2 linked regions of the Arabidopsis thaliana genome follow. The protein of the gene in region 1 interacts with the protein of each later gene in a pairwise test. Each region holds a gene or a part of one and is shown in the gene's direction. Other genes may lie near its edges. The genes, in order: AT3G22810 and CIPK15.

Evidence for each region.
Region 2: the proteins of AT3G22810 (region 1) and CIPK15 interact in a two-hybrid assay, tested with the Arabidopsis thaliana proteins (one large-scale study listed by BioGRID).

What each region holds. Positions count from the first base shown.
Region 1 is NC_003074.8:8,064,016-8,075,371, forward strand, and holds AT3G22810 (auxin canalization protein (DUF828)), read left to right. Parts: upstream 1-4,402; 5' UTR 4,403-4,579; coding exon 4,580-4,888; intron 4,889-5,339; coding exon 5,340-5,450; intron 5,451-5,474; exon of another isoform or gene 5,475-5,702; coding exon of another isoform or gene 5,703-5,708; coding exon 5,709-6,141; intron 6,142-6,232; coding exon 6,233-6,475; intron 6,476-6,560; coding exon 6,561-6,610; intron 6,611-6,911; coding exon 6,912-6,969; coding exon of another isoform or gene 6,970-7,007; exon of another isoform or gene 7,008-7,329; coding exon 7,330-7,544; 3' UTR 7,545-7,780; downstream 7,781-11,356. Other genes in the region: AT3G22800 (Leucine-rich repeat (LRR) family protein), read right to left, coding at 1-460; CLL1 (allergen-like protein), read right to left, coding at 9,436-9,674, 9,962-10,046.
Region 2 is NC_003076.8:304,781-315,619, forward strand, and holds CIPK15 (CBL-interacting protein kinase 15), read left to right. Parts: upstream 1-4,593; 5' UTR 4,594-5,024; intron 5,025-5,305; 5' UTR 5,306-5,679; coding exon 5,680-6,945; 3' UTR 6,946-7,317; downstream 7,318-10,839. Other genes in the region: AT5G01790 (uncharacterized protein), read right to left, coding at 277-903; AT5G01800 (saposin B domain-containing protein), read left to right, coding at 2,642-2,729, 2,952-3,100, 3,196-3,396, 3,536-3,595, 3,711-3,866; SR1 (serine/threonine protein kinase 1), read right to left, coding at 8,643-9,971. UniProt on the Arabidopsis thaliana protein: CIPK serine-threonine protein kinases interact with CBL proteins. Binding of a CBL protein to the regulatory NAF domain of CIPK protein lead to the activation of the kinase in a calcium-dependent manner.

The sequences.
Region 1 (11,356 bases):
CGTCAAGCTCATGGAGAAGATGGAGACATTTTAGAGTTTTGGGAAGTTGACCTTGAAAACGGTTGGAATTGATATGGAACAAGGCAAGATCGGTTAAGAGACCAAGCTCTAAAGGGAGATAACCGGCGATATTAGCATGGTTCAAGTCTATACCAGCGACGGTTAAGACATAAGGGTTATCTAGAGCCGGTGCACAAAACACGCCTGTGTAGTTACAAACATTAGGACCGCACCAGTTAGAAGTGAAGCCGTTTGGGTCAGAGGTTATGGTGAACTTCCAAGCTTGAAGAGCTGTGAAAGCTTTTAAGAGCCTCGGGTTTGTGATAGGAGGAAGAAAAGGATGAGCGAAGCACGGGTTTATTGGAGGAGTATGGTAGGTGAAAGCTTGAGGAAGAAGGAAGATGAAGCTGAGACCAGAGACCAAGAACCACCACTGGAAGAAGAAGGTGTCTTCTCTCATGACTAATGAGTTTTTGAGGTTGTTTTGTGTTGTGGAAATGGGAGTACAAGGTTACATATGTATACACAATGGGGGTGTAACCACTTCCTTTGAAAAGTTATATGTTGATGTTGGAAAATAATTGTAGATGAGAATGGTTATTCTTGAAGAGAGTCAGTCTTTGTTTATAGTGTGTTCAATTTTTTAATTACTATTTTATAACGATGATTAATTCAAATTTGATGATTGATAAGTTTTTGAAAAAGAATTTACATATATTGGGTGACAGTACAGCATTGATTTGACTTTTGTTGGTTTGGTAGAGAAGGTCAGAATTAGCAAAAGAATGTTCTTTGATCCATAATAATGCATCTATAGTTTTCTAATCTCTGTGTATCCACTTCTTGTAGAAATCAAATTGGAAAAAATATTAACACTTCTAATGGTCAAATAATATCACATATCCAAAGTTTAAATTTCAACAAAATATGTTTAAGTCATCCAAAAAGTTGCTTTTGAAAAATTATATAAAGCCAAAAATCATTGTAACTCCTGAATAAACCATTAATGACAATATTGGGATATGAACTCTCGAGCTACATGTGTTAGTATCACTGTTGAAACAGTACACGAATGTGGATTATAAAATGGATTGTTTAGTAAGTAGGTCTACGACAATTGCCTCGTTTCTTCGACACAAGTGTTACTCCGTTAACACGATCCAGCACATAACCATGTAATATATAAATTCATAGTTTCATGGGGGGCATTTATAAATCATCGGATGGTTGTTACTTGTTTAATTAATTACCACCAGAAACACGGTTTTAGTAAACTTTTAGATCATTATTGTCTAATTATAATATCAATATTCCTAAAAAGCATGAAAACATATTTGAAAACAAACCAAATGTTGAAAACTGTGGATTTGGACAGAAACAAAATCTTTCCCTTGTTCTTTACTTTAATTAAGACAACTTGTTCTCAGAAAACTAGTGGTCTTTACTATTTGTGACTCAATATCATTTTAGGAAAAGCTCTTTAAACAATTTAATTTTGAGATTAATCACAGGATTAATAATCACCTGAGGATCGTAATGTTTTTAGCTTTCATGTACTGAATTTATTTTGAGGGTTGGCGTGTAGTTAATATCGATGCTTTTGACTTCCGTATATACGTATGTTTATACGTTTGTACACGTATACGCAACTATTATATATATTTTAGTTACCAAGCCACTTGAGATTCTTTTTTCTGTTGATCTGAAGATTTCTTCAAAATCAAGTTCGATGGCTAAGCTAGGTCAAACACTTATCACAATCTGCGATTAACTACCAAAGATTCATACTGACATCACATTCATCCATAATACAATGTATATTGATATTATCTCCACTTGGTTGTGGAAAAAAATGAGTTTCTTAAAACTTTCGTGCACTTAACACTTTATTAACTTGTTAACGGACTTAATGTCGCTACAATACAAACTAATCCTAAGAAAAGTTGTAATGTTTGCCCAAAAAAAGTTGGGTTCTTTTGGTCCAATGTCTTTTCAATGGTGTCACACATTAGTTTAGTGGGCTTTTCTACATATATTCTTGAAAAGAAATTGAATTGGTTTCGCCCAAGGTTTAGCTCATCAAGCGGCCCCAAAGATTTTTGTGATCCAATCCAGCTTCATAGTGCCATATATCTTTTCGACAACTTTATAACGTGATCACAATTCGCTACGTTTACACAAACTAGATAATGACATGAATATATAGTACAATGGTGGACTACTTCTAGTTCTACTGATCACGGCTTCTACAAAAGAATTACAATTGACGAATATAGCCACTCTCGGAAAACAATCAACAATTAAGCTTCATTTGAAAAAAGCATATCGTTATCTTAATAAATCACAATAAAATTCGTAACAAAAATGTTGTATAGTTTTTAAAGTTGATACTTATAAAACAGTCAAGATGATAAACACGTGAAAGTTAATACGAAAGGGTGAGTGGTATCCACATCAAGAATTACTACTCTCTCTTTAACCAAATGAGACAAATTCTGCTGAGGTTATCCCTTTTGTCCACTACCCTACACACCTCCACTCTCTGGAGGTGTCATCTCGTACCTTTTTCTGTAGCGAGCTCTTCGGTCTGGTCCAGTCCAGACCAACCATCAGGTTCAGATACAGAACTGTGGGTCCGTCCTATGCCGTTGATGCGAGCCATGTGAGATTGTATCATGCTATTTTCTGTCACCAAAACAAAAAATAATGTGTCAATAAGTAATGTTTGTGGCCTTTTGACAATGTTTGTTGACACTCATGTCAAAGAAACCTGATTTGAATCGAGTCTCAAAATAAAGTTGGAAGTTATGACTTCTTATAAGTTTCCGATATAATTGAGTTGTTAGAGAAGATGGAGTTTCATTAAAGCAATATAAGAAAAACAATAAAATTGTCAAACAGACTATATATTCCCGGATAGGAGATACTACAATATAATATTTCAGATTTAGGTTGAATCTATATCAAAGAAGGGTAAGAAAGTTCAATAATGGGAGTCAAAAATGAACTCTAGTGTCGGCTACATAAAGAAAGTTATACATGAAAACGGTAATTTGTTTTTTATTTTTTTCTTTCCATAATTCATATTTAGATAGAATTGGCTTTACAGATTACAACACACAATACTTAGTTGATTTCCTTTCTTTAAATGTACAATAAATCAAAAATGAATTATTTGTTTTTTTGTGCGAAAAAATAAATTATTTGTAAGAAATTCAGTTTAGTTATGTATTGGTTAGAGATTTTTTTTAAATGCTCATATTTTTTTTTAGTTTTGTTGTTTATTAAATATCAAAAAAAAAATCTCTTTATTATAATATTTTTTTGAAGACGGTAACGCCTTTATTTTTTTATTAATTTATTTGTTTTTTAAACTGTAACGCCAATCCGTTATTCGTAGATAAAAGTTCGAAACGTAATTGATTTTATAGATTTTTCGTTCTAAATTAATTTTTTGTCAAACTGTAACGCTAATTCGTGGCTTTATTTGATTTTACGTTGAGTTTTTTTCTTAAAAAAAAAACATAATCTAAATTATGAAATTAGATATATTATTGAATATTTAACAAATGAATGTATATATACACTTGAACTTACTTATCAAATTAAACCATACATATAATCAAACCATACATATAAAGCGTTGAACCAAGTCATGGTCATAACAAAATATACCAAATTTTTTTAATGTTAACAGGGATCCATGGAATGATGGAAGTTTGGCACACCTTTCTCTCCTGCCAATATTTCAATAATGATGGAGTCGCCACATTTTTGCAGGTCACTCATCATGGACTCATGAGGTCCCTTATCATTTATGTCTTCTTTCCATTTATCACTCCTTTAAGATAGAAGTCAGAGTCTCCTTAAATTCTCATTTCAGTATTTCTATTCATTTGTTTTATAAAATTATTTGTGTAAAACTGTAAAGTAAAGATTAAAGTTAAATCAAAATTACCGTGATTAATTACTGTAATCATACTCATAGGACTATGTTAAATAATTGGTTTACACTTTTTTTTTGGGAACATATGTTAATTTTGATGAAATAAAAACTATTTCTTAAACTAGGTTTCCAAATATATGAGGTTTTTGGATTTTTTTTTATTTGTGTTTCTTAAAGTTTTTTGGAAAGTTAAATTTATTTCAATTTTTTATTATTATTGATTATATTATTTTAAAATGAAATTGTTTTTGTATGTGTATATATATATATAGGATAAAACATATACTATATAAAAGCGTATAAAAGTGAGATAAGAGTGTGTATATATATGTATATTTTTTTTTTTGACAGCAAGATAAGAGTGTATTAAGTTACAAAAAAATAAATAAATTACAAGCAAATTAAGAGATAAAAATATCGTATTTATTACCTTTAAATATCAAAATTTTCTTTTTAAGAGGAAGAGTAATAAAGCAAAGCATTGAAGCAGAGAAGAGGAAAAAAGCTGTGACTTTCATACATTACTCTCCCTCTCCATCTCTCTCGTTGTCACATATCAGTATATCACAAAACAAATTGCAGCCATTCACATCTTTCTCTTCCATCTCTCAACATTCTCTTTCTCTCTGTAAAATGGAGAAACCAGTGTTTGCACCATGGCGTTCCGACCAAGTTTTCCGGCCACCGGAGACACCATTAGAGCCGATGGAGTTTCTCTCTCGCTCCTGGAGCGTATCAGCTCACGAAGTCTCCAAAGCTCTCACTCCTTCTCAGCAACTCCTCTCAAAAGCCTCAATCGAAAACACCACCGTCATTCTCGAAGAACCCATCGCCGCCGGCGAGACCGAAACGGAGGACAACAGCTTCGTCTCCGGAAACCCTTTCTCCTTCGCTTGCTCAGAAACTTCTCAGATGGTCATGGATCGTATCTTATCTCAGTCTGTAAGTGTTTCATAACGCTTTCCTAAAAAACAGAGCATTTGCAGACAAAAAAATTCTGTTCTGTTCTGTCTCAATTCTCTTAATTTCGTCAATTTGATTCTATGTTTACTCAATTCTATCGATGGGTCATTACAATTTCATGAGTTAAGCACGATTTTGGTCTAAAGATCACGTTTTTTTTTTTTTATCTTTCGCAATTCTCATGAATCATGAATTCTTCAGTGGGTTCAACGAAGTTGAATTTTTCATGCGCAATGATTTGTAATCATATATATCATCCTTAATAAAATCGATATGATTTTCTAAAACACTCACCTTTCATGGGACCCTATAACATAATCACAAAAAAAGTTTGGAGTTTTCTTCAAGTCAAAAAGCTAACAATTTCACTGTTCTTTCTTTGTCTTCTTTCTTAATTCTTTTGCCATAACTTTAAATTATGTTATTGCAGCAGGAAGTGTCGCCACGAACATCTGGTCGGCTTTCTCATAGCAGCGGTCCTCTCAATGGTTCTTTAACCGACAGTCCTCCGATTTCGCCGCATCAAGTCGACGACATTAAGGTCTAAAACATTCTCATAATGTTTGGTTCTTTAATCTCGCTTGCTAATGTGTGACTCTGTGTTTAATTAGTATAGTAATATTTTTGATATCTTCGATGAAGATTCATGGATTGTTGGCTGTTGCTTATTAAATTATTGAAGTGTATTTTAATATAAAGCATTAATCTTTACTCGATTTGGTTTCTTCTTTTGTTTTATCCGTTTTGTTGTGAATTAACACAGAATCTGATTTTGTTGTGTTTTATTTGCTCTATGCAGCAATTTTGCCGATCAAACAACAATTTCAACTCTCAATACCGTTCAACGGGAACAACTCCGGGACCTATCACTGCAACAACTACACAGTCCAAGACAGTTGGACGGTGGTTGAAAGACAGGAGGGAGAAAAAGAAGGAAGAGATGAGAGCACACAATGCTCAGATACATGCTGCTGTATCAGTAGCTGGTGTGGCAGCCGCGGTGGCTGCTATCGCGGCTGCAACTGCTGCTTCGTCGAGTGCTGGAAAAGATGAGAATATGGCTAAGACGGATATGGCTGTGGCTTCTGCTGCAACACTTGTGGCTGCTCAATGTGTGGAAGCTGCTGAAGTTATGGGAGCTGAGAGGGATCATTTAGCTTCCGTTGTTAGTTCTGCTGTTAATGTTCGATCTGCGGGAGATATCATGACATTAACCGCTGGAGCAGCCACAGGTTCTTAGAGTTTGTTTTAGAAATTGATACTATGTTTCTAGTGAAAACATGTTTTTGCTTGAGTGCCATTTTTGTTTTGCTTCTGGTGTAGCGTTAAGAGGAGTGGCTACATTGAAGGCTAGAGCTATGAAGGAGGTGTGGCACATTGCATCAGTTATTCCAATGGATAAAGGAATCAATCTCGGAGGTTGCAGCAATGTTAATGGTAACGGGAGCTATGTCAGCTCAAGCAGCAGTCATAGTGGCGAATTTCTAGTTGAGGATAATTTCTTGGGACATTGCAATAGAGAATGGCTTGCTCGAGGTGGCCAACTTCTTAAACGCACCCGCAAAGGTTAAAACGCTAATCTATTAACAGTGTTTCTCTTGTTATGGTTTTGGATCCATTTTCTTAACTAATGTTGTGGTTTTGGTGGCAGGTGATCTTCATTGGAAAATAGTTTCAGTTTACATAAACAGGCTAAATCAAGTAAGATTCCTTCTTGAGCATTGATATTAGTGATCTGATGAACTTTGGAGAGAGGAAAGAAAGATTAAAGTGAGATACATTATTAGTGAATCAGTGGAAACTTTTTTAAGTCACCTACATGAGTGTGATTTTGTTAAAAGAATAGAAAAAAAGAACATGAAAAAGTGATTTCAGAGACCAATAAAAGAAGAGAAAGCAATTTTGTGAATGATGTATATATCTAGTAATATGCTTTAGTCTCTGCTTAAAACCATTTCTTGGCATCATTCTTATGATTTTGATTTGGTTATTGAACATGAAGGTTATATTGAAGATGAAGAGCAGGCATGTAGGAGGGACCTTCACGAAGAAGAACAAAAGTAAGAGAAATTCTTACCCTTATTATGCATACACCTAGTAGAATCTTGATATATTCTCATAGTATACTAATGTGACATAACTAAAGGTGAAAGCTTTAACTTTGTCACTATCTACTAATACTATCAATAATATGAGAATTCAAAACTTTGATGTGGGTCTACTTTGAATATGGGGATTTGAGAAGAAAAGCAAAAGGGTTTTGGGACTAAAGTGATCAGAGGATCAAAACAAAAGGAGACGCCATCTTTAACTTTTTTTGTTTTTAGTCTGTCTTTTGGATGTGAATATCAAGACTCTTGCACATTCTCCCTTAATATTTTTATTTGCCTGATCTTTTGTCTTCTTTTAAATTACTTCAGATGTTGTGATTGATGTGATCAAAAACGTTCAAGCTTGGCCAGGCCGCCATTTGCTGGAAGGAGGAGAGGATTTGAGATACTTTGGGTTAAAGACGGTTCCGCGAGGGATTGTAGAATTTCAGTGCAAGAGCCAGAGAGAGTATGAAATGTGGACACAAGGTGTCTCAAGGCTTATTGCTGTTGCTGCCGAGAGGAATAACAGATATAGGATATGAAGGGAGTAGTAGTTTTAAGAGTTCAGAGCTACTTTTTGAGGGGTGATATCTAACTTATGGGGCCAAATTATAACTTGGAGAAAGTTAAGGGTGTTTTCTTTAGAGTAATGTCTTTTTGTAAGGTATATAGGATTAAATGTGGCCTCTATAAGGGTAGCTAGTGAAACAAATCTTGGTGTTTGTATATATATTTTTTTTTTGTGAAAAAAGTTTAATATCAAATTTTTAATTTTATATAAGGTCGTAATCTGGTAGGTCCATTTCCCATATTGATTTTGATTTGTATCATGTTTGAAATTGAACACCACATTCTTGCAGTCATGTATTAACTTAATAATACGGTACCAGCCTAAATGTTCATACAAGCTTAGTGACTAGTGAGATAGCACTGTGTCCTCCAATAGGTATGCTCACAATCATCGCATATGGATTCACAATTGACGCTCATGTAACATTAGTAAGTCCGAAACCCATCAAACCCAAGCTTCTAGAAGAAATCCAATGTATTGGCTTTGCTGAAGTTATAGAATTCATCGGTCCACATTTGGTGTTGGCAACGCTCATGATGATTATAGTGTTGACTTTTGACTAGTATAATATATCAATGAAAATATTAAAATGCATGTTTTTGGAAACGAATAAGTATATCTTTTCATAATGAAATTTTTCATATGCCCAATGGACTATATTGGGTGTGTATTTGGGCTGGCCCAGTTAATTTGTAAGGTTATCTATTATAAATCTACCAAAAAATTTCTCCAAGTTAAACCTAAATTTTAACTAGCTAATAAATATTTTTTTTTGTGGTAAAAACCAATCATGTGTTTGGTTTTAAAAACAATCATGTGTTTGAGTTAGTGTTCGTACGTATGACATGTTAGGAGCAAATCATAGAAGAATACACATTCCAAATGGCTACACCTACACATTCCAAATGGCTACACACATTATACAGTATACACAGTTTTTTTCACCTTTATTTCCTTATCTCTTGAATGAAATTAAATGTACATATATACTACATTTACTTTCAATTTTGTTTCCGTTCAATTTAATGAATTACTTAATCTGGCAAGAACAAATAGTAGAAACAGGCCCCGCTTGCATGTGAAAAAACTGACTTTGACTTGGAAGATAAATTAAAAGCTTAAGTTGTGTAAGACCAACTCGTGTGTTTCGTACGCCTGCGCCTTGGTTTATGTGCACAACTTAGAAAATTGTTTCCCATTGCATTACGTAACATACCAACACCACACGATTGCTAGAAGCATTTCCCAAAAGAATATATGTTTCATGCAAAAATCTGCTCCAGTTGTTATTATAGTGTACAAGATATTAGAAATATGTGTACAGCCAAAAGTATATCTTCTCCGTAGTTCAACCAGAAAAAAAAAACATTACAATTTAAAAGAGAATTTCCAAAATTTTGAGTTCGACATGTCTGAAAGAAAAATAGACTAAATAATGGATTAATAAACTACTACACACGACAAGTAATGGCCTAATGGCTAATGGCAAATGGGTATCGAGGGACCAATTAAAACCTATGGGTCCGAAACACATGAGCCGACTAATAAATCAAGAGGGGTTGGTCTGAAAATAGGGGGGCAAACGCACTTAATAAGGAATGATATGTGTATTGTAATGATCATACATTTTTTTGATAAGGTTATATATCTATATATAACTATTACTATCATATTTTTCCATGTGTTAAAAACTGTTATGATCATATTATAACTTTTAAACAAAATATTGCCTCAAAGCTAACCAGTAAAAACCAATTAGTAAGGAGGACAAAATTAATCCCGAGGAAAAGAAAAAGCTAACAAAAAGTTCACTAATTGTTGAAGAATTAATTAAGTTAGGTCATGAAGATCTGTTTTTGGTTTTAGGGCATGAAGAGTTTGTTGCCACACTTGCAGCGCCAAGCTTCAGGGTAATACTCCAGTGGCATAATCAGACCTGGTTGAATCGGAACGTGAACTGCTTTACAAGGCTCACATTTCCCACACTTCAATCTACACATCGGAGGCACCGAGCCAGGTCCCCCTAACCGCTTCTGATCTACAATCTGACCCGGTAAACCCGACCTAGCTATCTCCTTCTTCCCCTGCCCAAGCCCTCCACCTGGTTTAACGACAGAGTAAATTCATGACTACTAGTAAATAGGCAAAAGAAACAAAAAATGGGGTTTTCACTTTTTCTCCTTCATTTCTTCTTTTGTTTAAGCAACAAAACATTTTGCTTAGTTGAGTATGCAATTGTTAGAAGTTAAGATCTTTTAGGTTCCTATTCCACACATAACTATACAGAAAAAACGGTTCCATATAGATTTTTTTTTCAAAACAAACAAACTATGCTATGTAGATAAAACATGATAGTAGATAAAAGAGTTTAAAGAAGTGGGTTCTTACTGGGACGTTGAAGAGAGGCGGCGGAGGACGACGAGAAGAAGAGAAGGAAAGCATAAACGATGAGAGTTGGGAGGACGACGCCCATTAGCCAGGACCGGTGAGGAGTGTTTTTGTCTTTAGGTTTAGGAATTTTGGGTAAAGTGGTCCAAAGTCAAAGAGACATGTAAAAGAGAGTAATGAATAAAGAGAGAGAAAGAGTGTATGAATAATCAAACCCCCATCTTCAATCATTGTCATTTTTATGTAGCGATGAAATTAATCTAAGTTTCATAAGCTAAGATAAATATAAATATAAATAATATATTAGAGTTATTGTTAATCTTTCTAAACTTCATTATTAATATTTATCGATATTTTTCTAAACTCATATATTTTAACTATATTTTAAAACTCTTAAGGTAAAAAATATGGGATGTTTAATGGGAATAAAGATGTCATAGCCGTACAAAGACGTAATCACATTAGTTTTTTTTTGTTTTTTTTGTTTTTGTAACCCGATTCAACTTAATTAAATTGGTTAGATCTTTGATCCGAAAAACTTCTATATGGCTAAGTTCTTGCAACATAATTGAGTTTTTTTTGTTCATCTAAATTTTATTAAGAATCAAGAGAATGATACAAGTTGAAACTACATATGCCGGCAGATGACTAAAAATGTCTCCAAAAACTTAGTCCAAAAGAAAAAAGCATTGCTCCAACAGGGAAAACTAATTTACACTAACCTTAAAATATAACAAAAAAAAAATGTCTATAAAGGAACAACCACATCAGAAAGGTTGAAACCTAAGCGCTATAATTGAACAAAGGAAAGTTTACCACATAAGTAGTCGATATTTTGTATACATTTGCAATGAACCAAATTAAATCAATGGTATACATATATGATATATAGATCAATGTATACTTTTATCTTTTATTTTTATTAGGAATAAACGGACTAAAAAGTAACAACTATTGATTGAGTGATCCACACTCCAACCAATTAGATTCGACAATCCAATATACAGAAAGACAAACTAATTAAATTCACTCCAGAGAAGACCAAGGGCGTTCGATCTTCCACATTTACTTCCACATGGGCTCTTTTAATTCTCTTTAGTACATATATATTTTATATAAACTATATCTGGACTACCATTATAAATTATACATTAAATGAACGAATAATTTCAGGTGAAAATCTCACTCATTCTTATTTTACATTCTTTGGTGATCAGGTTCTGAATAGAATGCTAAAAACTGGAGAGAATTCAAACCCATGGATCAGGGATTTACAAACGAAAATTAAATCAATCTATTTAAATATGAAAAAAAGAAAGAAAAAAAGATAGACTAGTGATCAATTTAATGAGTGTGGCGCAGGTTGGGCTTTCTGGATAATAATTATTGGTGGTC
Region 2 (10,839 bases), on another chromosome or scaffold:
CTATACTTAAATTATCAAAGTTTTAGTCATGCACTTTAAACCAAAGTGAATGCGACAGTTACTATAATAATCTTCTGATCAATTTACGTAACTCTTGTAACTGTTCATTGCTCTTATTTAACAAAAAGGTAAACGTATTATATGATTCGGAGTTGCATTACCGACACAAACTGATTAAATATTATAATAATAAGACGATGGAACACAAAATAAACTAATATATGAAAAACATTTTATAAAATTTCAACGTTTTATTTTCCAAATTTTGCAGCGGAATTAGCAGAGGAAACATCTGCGGATTCCGAAGCAGGAAGTGGATTGTGATCTCTGAATTGGGTAGTCAGCAGAAGAGTCGAAGGATGAAAATCTTCGCATGACATTCCTTTCTGTTTGAAACTTGAACAGATCGTACTCATTTTCGTCGATCAACACTCTCTCCGACAGAGATGGTGGTGATGAAGCCGACAGTTTCTTAGCCTTACCATTGTGATCGCCCGATAGCCAGAAGAGCCTTGTCGGGATTAGTGCGAGGATTTTCTTGGTGGACTTTTTGGAACGGCGGCGGATTTGGTCGCCGGAGAAAGAGAAATGAGACGGCGGAGGAGTGAGAGGTGGCAGAGTAGGTAGCTCAGAGGAGGGGTGTTTGGGTGTGCCTGGATGAGATTCCCATTCGAAAGGGACGGCACCGGCGGCTCCGTCGTAGTAGTAGATTCTAAAGGAAGGACAAGCAGCTGATACCGACGAAAAACGTTGTTTGGTCGACGGTAGCTTACCGGAGAAGGTGGCGGTGTCTTGCTTTTTCAGTGAGAGTGAAGCTGCCCGCTCAGATCCCGCGTTTGGCATTATTGTCTTGGGAGAGTGAGAGAGAGAGAGGGAAGGAAAGAGAGGGAGAGATGTGTGCATGAGACATATGGAGTCAATCTATCATGTATATATGGGTGCCTGGTGTCTTTGGTACGGTTTTTACTTTTGGGCTTATTTGTTTGGCTTTGGTGTCTATAGAAACTATATATTAAAAGCAAAATGTAATAATTAATGATAGTGAAATAATAGTTTCAATAGTGCGGTTAATTAGCTCTCATAGTTAGAACTTATAAAGATACATCTCGAAGTGTGTTGGTCCAATCCTACAAAGGCAATAACCACTCGATGGATATATAAAGTCATCACAACTTATTAGACCCTTGAACACTAAGTAATGCTACCGGGTACAAAAGAAAACACTCACATATGAATAATGAGGAGATCTAAATACGTCATACTCAAGGCAAGATATTTGTATCACATGTATATAGCAATTAACGATTCATCCATGAGAATATTTACATTACAAGCCAACATATACATAACTTCAACACAAACATGTCATTGATGAGTAGATTTTATTAAGAAAGGTGTGGTTATTGTAGAAGCATTTATTTGGAGAGTAGATAGGACCATTGATGAAAACAATATGAATTGAATAATTGGTTTTTATCTGATTAAATTGGAAAACAGTGTATGACTAAACGAGCCACGACCCATGCATTCCTACATGTGCTCCACATACCTCCGAGCATTGCTTTCCTTAGTATATACACACTGATAGACCCCATGGTCGGTCCATTCTTTTGCATTAATATCTTTCATGTGATATTCATATACTCGCTCCCCTCATCAGAATTTACATCTCTTCGTTAAAGGTTAAACAAGAAGACATAATTACATTTTCTTCCGTCCATTAAAGAAAAATGAGAGATTTTTTTTTTAAAAAATTGAAGGTCTTTAAAGTATTGAGAACCGTGACCTATTTATAAGGTTTAAAACCAACAACCAAATTTCTCATTTGTTGGGTTGTGAAAGATAATTTGGCGAATATCATACAAATGCGATTAATTACGGTTTAAACATCTCCATTAAGGTATTGACAGTATCAAAATAAGGAGAAGAAAATGGAACAAACAATTTTGTCCAGAGGTGTATAAACTTGGAGTATCATATTCTTATAGCAGATGAAATAAAATACTAGTTAGTTTATTTGTTTGGAAAACAAAATAGGTAATGTGAATATAGATTTTAAAAGTAATTTTGATACTACAGCCCTTTAATTAGATTGAAAATAATAATAATAATAAAGAAAGGACCAATCATATGTTTGACAAAAAAAAGGGCCAATCATATAATTCTGTTACCATGGATCTAAATGAGAGGAGACTCTTGCTTTTTCACAAAAAAAAAGAAAAAGAGAGAGAGAGCAGCAACCCCAGCAGCATCGAAGATCGTCGATCGTCGATCGGTTGCTCTCTTTCATTAATCAGATCTAATTGATACCCAAGCTTCTTCATCGGAGGCCGTGTAAGCTAGCTTCTTCTTCTTCATCTTTTCGTACACTTATTTGATTGTTGTTTATGTATCGATTCTATGGAATAAGAGCTTTTAGCACATATTAATTTGTCCCCAGTCTCGTCGTATATGCAGACCTATTTAGCGCTTATGGTTTGATTTAGATCTGTTTAATTTAGCGTTTCAACCTAAAATTGTTGACAACTCAAAATCGGAATCCCCCAAAAAGTGTCTGTTGACTTATGAATATGGCCATCTCCAAATCGGTTTTTGATCCATCATCATTAAATTTGGTAATATATAGATCTCACGAGGAAACATGGGCGGTAGATTTGGAGTCCTCCTAGTCCTCTTCCTCTTGAGCTGGTCTTGTCATGCTACAAACCCGATTCTTCTCGAACCATTCGGTAAGAACATTTTTGAAGGCATCTAGAGTCTCTCTTGCACCTGTTTCTAATTCAAATTTGTTAAAATCTGTTCACTGGATTATTTGAATACGTTACGTTTTCAGAAAGCATTCAATCTGATATAGACATCCTGATGTATGTTTTTTTTTTTAATTGGGTTTAAGAAGTTTGCTCCATATAATATTTGTGTTGATCTCCTATGTATGATTGTTTCGTTTGCAGAATCAGCTCATGATGACAACCAAGTCTGTGAACTATGTGACAAGTATGTCACGCTAGTCATTGATTACCTTCAAGACTACGACAACCAGAATGAACTCGTTGAGGCCCTTCATATCAGCTGCTCTCAGATTCCTCCTCTCAAAAAACAGGTCTTCATTGAGTCCTTGGTTGTTTTTGCTTTCTCTATTCCTTTTCTCAGACGTGGTTATATGTTAACTATGCCCAACTCATGTGTTTGTTGCAGTGTCTTTCAATGGTAGATCATTACACCCAACTTTTCTTCACACAAGTCTCTACTATCAAATCAGACCAAATCTGCAAACGGCTTAACCTCTGTCAAGCTGTGACACCGGCCTTTGCCTCTCAAGTCCATCAAGGAAACTGCGAGGCTTGCCGCGAGACTGTCTCTGAGGTTGTCACCAAACTCAAGGATCCTGAGACTAAGGTTTGCTCAACCTTCATTCCTTCTATTATCACATACCTATTCTGTGTCGCAAACCTTAGGCTTAGCACTAAGAATTATATCAGTTAGAGATATTTATTATTGCTGCTGAAGATTGACTTTTGCCTTGTGAATGTTGCAGCTGAAGATAATTCGGTTACTTCTCAAGGAATGCAAGTCGCTTAACAATTACCAGGACAAGGTAGCTAACTAATAAAGAATGCCCGCAAAGCTCTCTCTATTTAAGCTGAGTTTTGTGATACTTTTATGGATCATCATCAGATAATAACAATGTGTTTGTTTATGATGGTGAATAGTGCAAGAAGATGGTATTCGAGTACGGGCCTCTGATGCTTACGGATTTGCAGAAGTTTCTGGAGAAGAAAGACGTGTGCACTATCCTCCACGTCTGTCCAGGTCCAGCCACCCACCGTGACTACGTTCCTGCGGTGGAGTCATTGGCAGATTCGTAAATTCGGCCACCTTGGTTTTGTCGTCATTCACACTAATACCATGCCATGATCGTGATGCTAATTTAATTTGGTAACCCGGTGGTCATGTAAATACTGATTGATATATTAAAAACATAACTACACGATTGATGATTCTTGTGTGATTTGAAAAGAACGCTGTCTAAAGGCCCATTGTCCATCGATGGGCCTTTTTGCTAATTTCTACATTGCCCATGTTGTGTAGTCTGATTTTCGCTAAAACGTTACGTTGATGCGTGTACTCAATCACTCGCCCACCATTTTCTTCTGTGAAACAGTTGGCAAAAGTTAGGGGCCGCCAAGCTGGTTTAAACTGACCCACAAGCGAATAAATGTCAGACACGTGTAAAGGACAAAGAGAGCAAGTGTCACCGTATCTATAAAAGCTAACATTAGAGGATATTCTTGCTTACGTGTGACATCGTCACTGGTACATATCATCTAAAGGAATCTTTGATCAACACTACTCTGGAAAACAAATTGTATACTATTTATAAATCTGTTGACTGTATGTATATTCAGAATTATGTGATTGATTGACTAAAAGCGACTGATTTTTAACCTTTTATAATACAAACAGAACAGTGTACATATCCAATGTAGTGAAACAAATCCTTTTATTGGGAAATAAAATTAATTTTGTAAATGAAAATTTCGTTAAAACAAACCTTAATGCTTATCGTATATTTATTTAGCTTGAAAACTAAAGAAAAGATGTAAAAAAAAAAGAACTAAGTTTGGTTAGTGTGTGTAATGACGATGAAAGATGATGAGAAGTGATAACTTATTTTAAGGGCTAAGAACAACAACAAAGTTGATTATTAGAAGAAAGAAATAATTAAAAAGCAAATTGCAAACAGCGAAAAGAGAGATGATGACAAAAAATGGTTAGTAACGGCCAAAAGGTAAACAGGTTGGCTGCTCTTTGTTTCCATTAAAATTAGTAAAAATTCCGAGAATGGCATTTTCGCAATTCATAGATATCATCAACTTGTGTGTTTGTTGGCCGATTATAATATAAAGGAAGGGAAACTCTTCTTCTCTTTCTTCTCATTTTCTCTCAATTCCTCGCAGCTGAAGCTATTTGGCATATACTTGTCTTCGCTTTTCGTAGCTCTTTCGCGCATAATAATAACTGAGGTAATTGTTCGATTCTGGTTCGCAGCGGATTTTGTCGATGCTATTGAGGAATCTAGATTTCTGTGATGGATAGATATAAGACATATCTTATGTCTCTGTTCCGATTCGATCTGTTTGTTTCGTTCCTAGTTCGATCTACTTAGATTTCGTCCCATGTTTATAGCTCTCAATCGCTTTGAATCTTGTCTTTAGTGTTCGATTTTCTGGTGTTTAATTAGGAGCAAACTAGATAGGCCTTCTTTGTTGATCCTGTCATTAATGGTTTGCTCTCTATGTTTCAGGTTGTTGTTTAATCAAGAAGAGTGTGCAAAAATTGGAAGGCCAGGGAATGCAGAAACATGTATTTGAAAGCTGAACTCAATTGCTCTACACCACCCTCTCAGATCCTTTGTCCCTTTGGGCCCTTGTTCTCCCTCATCCCTTATGTGGACACCCATTTTCTAAACCCCTGCTTCCACACCTTCCAGCCTTCCTCTCACAATGCTAGAAAAAACGCCACTTGGAAGCATGATCTTTGCGAAGACGGTTGATCCGACACTAACAGCCTCCTCCTGAGTTCCTCCTCTACCCTTTATGTTGTCTGCGTTTTAGTATATTCTAGGGTGGTCTTTTTATTTAGTGGTATTAGTAGTGCTCTAAGCTAACCAGTTAGTCAATGGAGAAGAAAGGATCTGTGTTGATGCTCCGTTATGAGGTTGGGAAGTTTCTCGGTCAAGGTACCTTTGCTAAGGTATACCATGCTAGGCATTTGAAAACTGGTGATAGTGTAGCGATTAAGGTCATCGACAAAGAAAGAATCCTCAAAGTTGGCATGACCGAGCAGATTAAGCGAGAGATCTCTGCCATGAGACTCTTGAGGCATCCCAACATCGTTGAGCTCCATGAAGTCATGGCCACCAAATCTAAAATCTACTTCGTCATGGAACATGTTAAGGGTGGTGAGCTCTTCAACAAAGTGTCAACTGGGAAGCTGAGAGAAGACGTTGCGAGAAAGTACTTTCAGCAGCTTGTACGCGCTGTTGACTTCTGTCACAGCCGTGGAGTATGCCACAGGGACCTGAAGCCGGAGAATCTCTTGTTGGATGAGCATGGGAATCTTAAGATCTCTGATTTTGGTCTCAGCGCTCTTTCTGACTCTAGAAGGCAAGACGGGTTGCTGCATACTACATGCGGGACCCCTGCATATGTTGCACCGGAGGTGATAAGCAGGAACGGGTATGATGGGTTTAAAGCGGATGTGTGGTCCTGTGGAGTGATATTGTTCGTCTTGCTCGCTGGATATCTTCCTTTCCGTGATTCCAATCTGATGGAGCTGTATAAGAAGATAGGCAAAGCTGAAGTCAAGTTCCCCAACTGGCTTGCTCCGGGGGCAAAGAGATTGCTCAAGAGGATCTTGGATCCTAACCCCAACACAAGGGTATCAACTGAGAAAATAATGAAGAGCTCTTGGTTCCGTAAAGGCCTACAAGAGGAGGTGAAAGAATCAGTTGAGGAAGAGACAGAAGTGGACGCAGAGGCAGAGGGAAACGCAAGTGCAGAGAAGGAAAAGAAGCGGTGTATCAACCTGAACGCGTTTGAGATCATATCTCTGTCCACGGGGTTTGATCTCTCGGGACTGTTCGAGAAGGGAGAGGAGAAGGAGGAGATGAGGTTTACATCAAACAGAGAGGCATCTGAGATAACAGAGAAGCTGGTGGAGATTGGGAAGGACCTTAAGATGAAAGTGAGGAAGAAGGAACACGAATGGAGGGTGAAAATGTCGGCTGAGGCTACAGTGGTGGAAGCGGAAGTGTTTGAGATTGCGCCGAGCTATCACATGGTGGTGCTAAAGAAGAGCGGTGGAGATACTGCTGAGTATAAGAGAGTCATGAAGGAGAGTATAAGACCGGCTTTGATCGACTTTGTATTAGCTTGGCACTGAAACATATTCTATCCTTTTTATGTGTCTTCTTCTTTTAGAATGTTTTTCTTGTTTTGTTTTGCCAATGTGTTTAGTTTATGTATTTTCTCTTGAGTCTCATCTTAAGACGTGTTTCGTATTTTTCTAGGTGTCAGTGTAACAATAATAATATGTGAGGACCAATTATATAGTTTGAGACAAAATAAGTAGATTTCTTTATCAGATAAAATAAAATAAATTGAGCCTTAATGAAATAAGCCAATAGACCGACAACGGTTTTAGGAAGCATTATACTACTATTTTGTAGTTATTTCGTATTATTGTAGTCTTTTGGATGATCTTTTTGTGTATTAACAAAGTCAAAACAAATTTATAATTTAACTTACGTTACAGAATTTGTTAATGGTGTGTTTTCTTCTTCTATTTTTTTGGTAAGAAATGGTGTTAAAAAAATGAGAAAAAGAATCCAATGGTAAGATTAGTGTTCATACATGTATTGGAAAATGACAAAGTGTCTTTATTGGTTGGATGATTGTGATTGGGCCAATTCGAGAAGACGACTAAAATGGACAAGCTCATTGAATTCACGGCCTCCAGTGGACCACGTTGGCCCATAATCGGATATACACCATACATTTATCAGTTGGTCAAATCAAAACCTTTTATCATAGAGTGCAGAGTATATTTTTCTAAGGGTTTTGCTTAATCCGCTATCTTTTAGTGGGCCAACAACTACAAATTGGATTGAAGGAGAACCAAGGAAACCACCCAATTTAAGACTCTTGTCTTTTCGTAATCTAACCAACATAACGTGCTCGTCAGATTTTTGCATTTGTGTGTTTCCTACTTTTCCTTTTATGCTCAACAGGATAATTAGTTACATATAACCACAATTAAGGAATTAATTAAAGCATATTAAGTGCTTTAAAAGTGTACGATGTGATTGTGTATATAGTAAATTGGATAATATATAGATCGTGGAGCCTACAATTATTGCATTGAAAAGGTGATATATATGTTGATTACAGTAATTATAACTGCTGAAGCTGAAATTAATGGATTATGGATGATTGGATTCAATGTGGATACCAAGAAAAGAAAATGATTGATGAGAATTATTGGTGTATGATCTTATATCACAGCCACATGCGATAGGATTATATAAAGTCCACTAGCTATATATCTATTTTAATAGTATATTTTTACAATGATGTGATAAGGACAACCTCTTACTTATCAAAAAGGTGAAAGTAGATCAGTTGTGTTAGTTCATGGCTCAAATCTTGACACTTCTTTTTACATAATGACAAAATTAATAGCAGAAGAAGACTGTGTTTTATGAGTTGTTAAAAATTACATCTATATGTATGTTAAATATCATGTTGAATAGTTAACTAATCCTTAAGTAATGGTTAAGTTAGAGTGTCTTGTACACATAGCATTACTTCACATCCACGATACGTTACTAATGTATTATAGTGGCCATTTAAAACAAGTAATACATTTTTTTATATTTTATTTTTCATTTATATAAAATATAATTATGATTACATAACAAGAAGATACATACTTGCCAACTAAAAATTAAGATTTGTCGAGAAATTTCCTGAATAATTATGTCAGAGATATTCTCCGGGTAAAAAAAAAAGCAATTACATATAACCCGGGATATTTTTTTTTAATTATTATTTGGATAATTTATTTGACAGATACCTAAACTACGACGTCGTATGTACTTGAGTTGGTTCTGGGTCCGTTTGGTCTGATTCGTGCACAAGCTCGACGAAGAAAGGCCTGAGTGTATCTGTCCATAAATCTCGTCCAGATGCAGCGGCTCTTTGTCTCTTCCTCACCTCTATCATAACCAGCTCGTCCGTTAGCTGGTTTATCTCAACCACCATTGCGAAGTTACCTTTTTGCCCCTCGATCTTCATCCCCCATGTTTCCTTCTTCGCCACCGTCAGATTCTCCGCCGACACGATCTCCTCCAGCCTCTCCACCACCCTCTCCGCCGTCCACGCCGACACGAACCGTTCCACTCGGTCGTACTTTCTGGCGTCTCCGAAAAGACCGGAGAGATTGAACCCTGGAGATCCTGAGATGATGTCGAATGCGTTCATCCTCCTTGCTCCCATCTCGCTGTCGGTCTCGTCCGCCGGGAGTTTCATATCGGAGTCCTCTAGATGGAATTTAGACATCCGATCGTCGTAGCCCTGTTTGAACCATGGATCGTGGATGATCTCTTCGATAGTGATCCTCGTCTGCGGATTCGTGTCTAAAAGCCGAGTCAGCAGTCGCCGGAGATCCGGTGAGGTCCACTTGGGAATGCGAAATTCTCCCTTGTAGATTTTCCGGTACATAACCATGAGATTATGGTCGTTGAAAGGGAGATAACCGGCGTTGAGGACGAACAGTATGATTCCACATGACCATATGTCGATTTTAGCACCGTCGTACCCTTTCTTCGCCAAAACCTCAGGCGCCACGTACGCCGGCGTACCACAGAGTGTGTGGAGGAGGCCGTCGGGTCGGATCTGATCGGTAAGAGCGCTGAGTCCGAAATCAGAGATCTTCAAATCGAGCTTCTCGTCGAGGAGGAGATTCTCCGGTTTGAGATCACGGTGAAAGATGCCGCGGGAGTGGCAATATCCGACGGCGGAGATGAGCTGCTGGAAATAACGACGGCTAAGATCCTCGCAGAACCTGCCCTTGGAGACTTTGGCGAATAGCTCACCGCCCTTGGCGAATTCCATGACGAAGAAGATCTTGGATTTGGTGGCGAGGACCTCGAACAGGCGCACGATAGAAGGGTGGCGCAGACGGTGCATGATAGCGATCTCTCTCTGAATGTTGCCATTGAGTCCTCCTTTCTGCAGCCGTTGCTTGCTCACCACTTTGATCGCAACGCTCTGACCCGTCGCTGTGCTCCTCCCGTGGTACACTTTCGCGAAGGCGCCGCATCCCACCAATTTTCCGACCTCGTATTTGCCGAAGAGCTGTCCACGGCGGTTCTCCGGCGGAAATTCCACCGGGTCAGAATCTACCATTAAAAACAGAATCTGCTAGGTCAATTATGGTACACAGAAACTGAGGTCATTGCGAATGAATCAACGCCGTAGAAAAAAAAGAAAAGAAGTCTGAGAGAGAGAGTGTTGTTATTAATAGAAGAAGCGAAAGGAAAATTAGTAGTTTGAAAAGTAAAAAGATATGAACAAAAGTAACAGATATTTAGAGAGATCTGTTAGCAGAGAAAACAAAAGAGAGACAGACAAATTGGGAGGATTCGGATAAGAGATAAGCCATGCTCTGTATCGAGTTGTTACATATATATTACTGTCTTGAGGTAGGAGATGAGGGTATTTTTGTCAATTACTATCAGATTCTTTTTCCTTATTTTCTTCTTCTTTATTTTCTTTGTAAAGACGTGGGAGATTTTCTGTTTTGTTTTCTTAATATATCTATTAAAAAAAGAAGAAGAAGAAGATGAAGATGTGGACAAGAAGTTGAATTAGAACCATACAGGTGTCCCGTCGCTGTTGTCGTGTTGATTTGGTATCTCCGAGGGTTTAGGCTGTAGAATATACTCATTTCACACATATACGCTTCGTCGTATCTTCGGCTATTTGCTATAATATTATTATTACAAGAACATATAAACATGTTTCCTCCAATATTGTTGAATATTATTATTTTATGGTCAACTCAAAACGGAGAATTGTTCTTTCGACTAGCCTAGGCAGCTAGCTCTAGTTAGTTAGTAATTCAGCTAACCACTGCTTTGTTTAGTCATCAATCGTGGTTAAGTCCTTTGAACATCCAAATTCCCCTTATTAGTATTAGTTCAAGTCTCATTTTGAGCACCAGGCTATATATTGCGGTTGACAGGTTACTACAACTCCCGCCCCACTGCTCAAG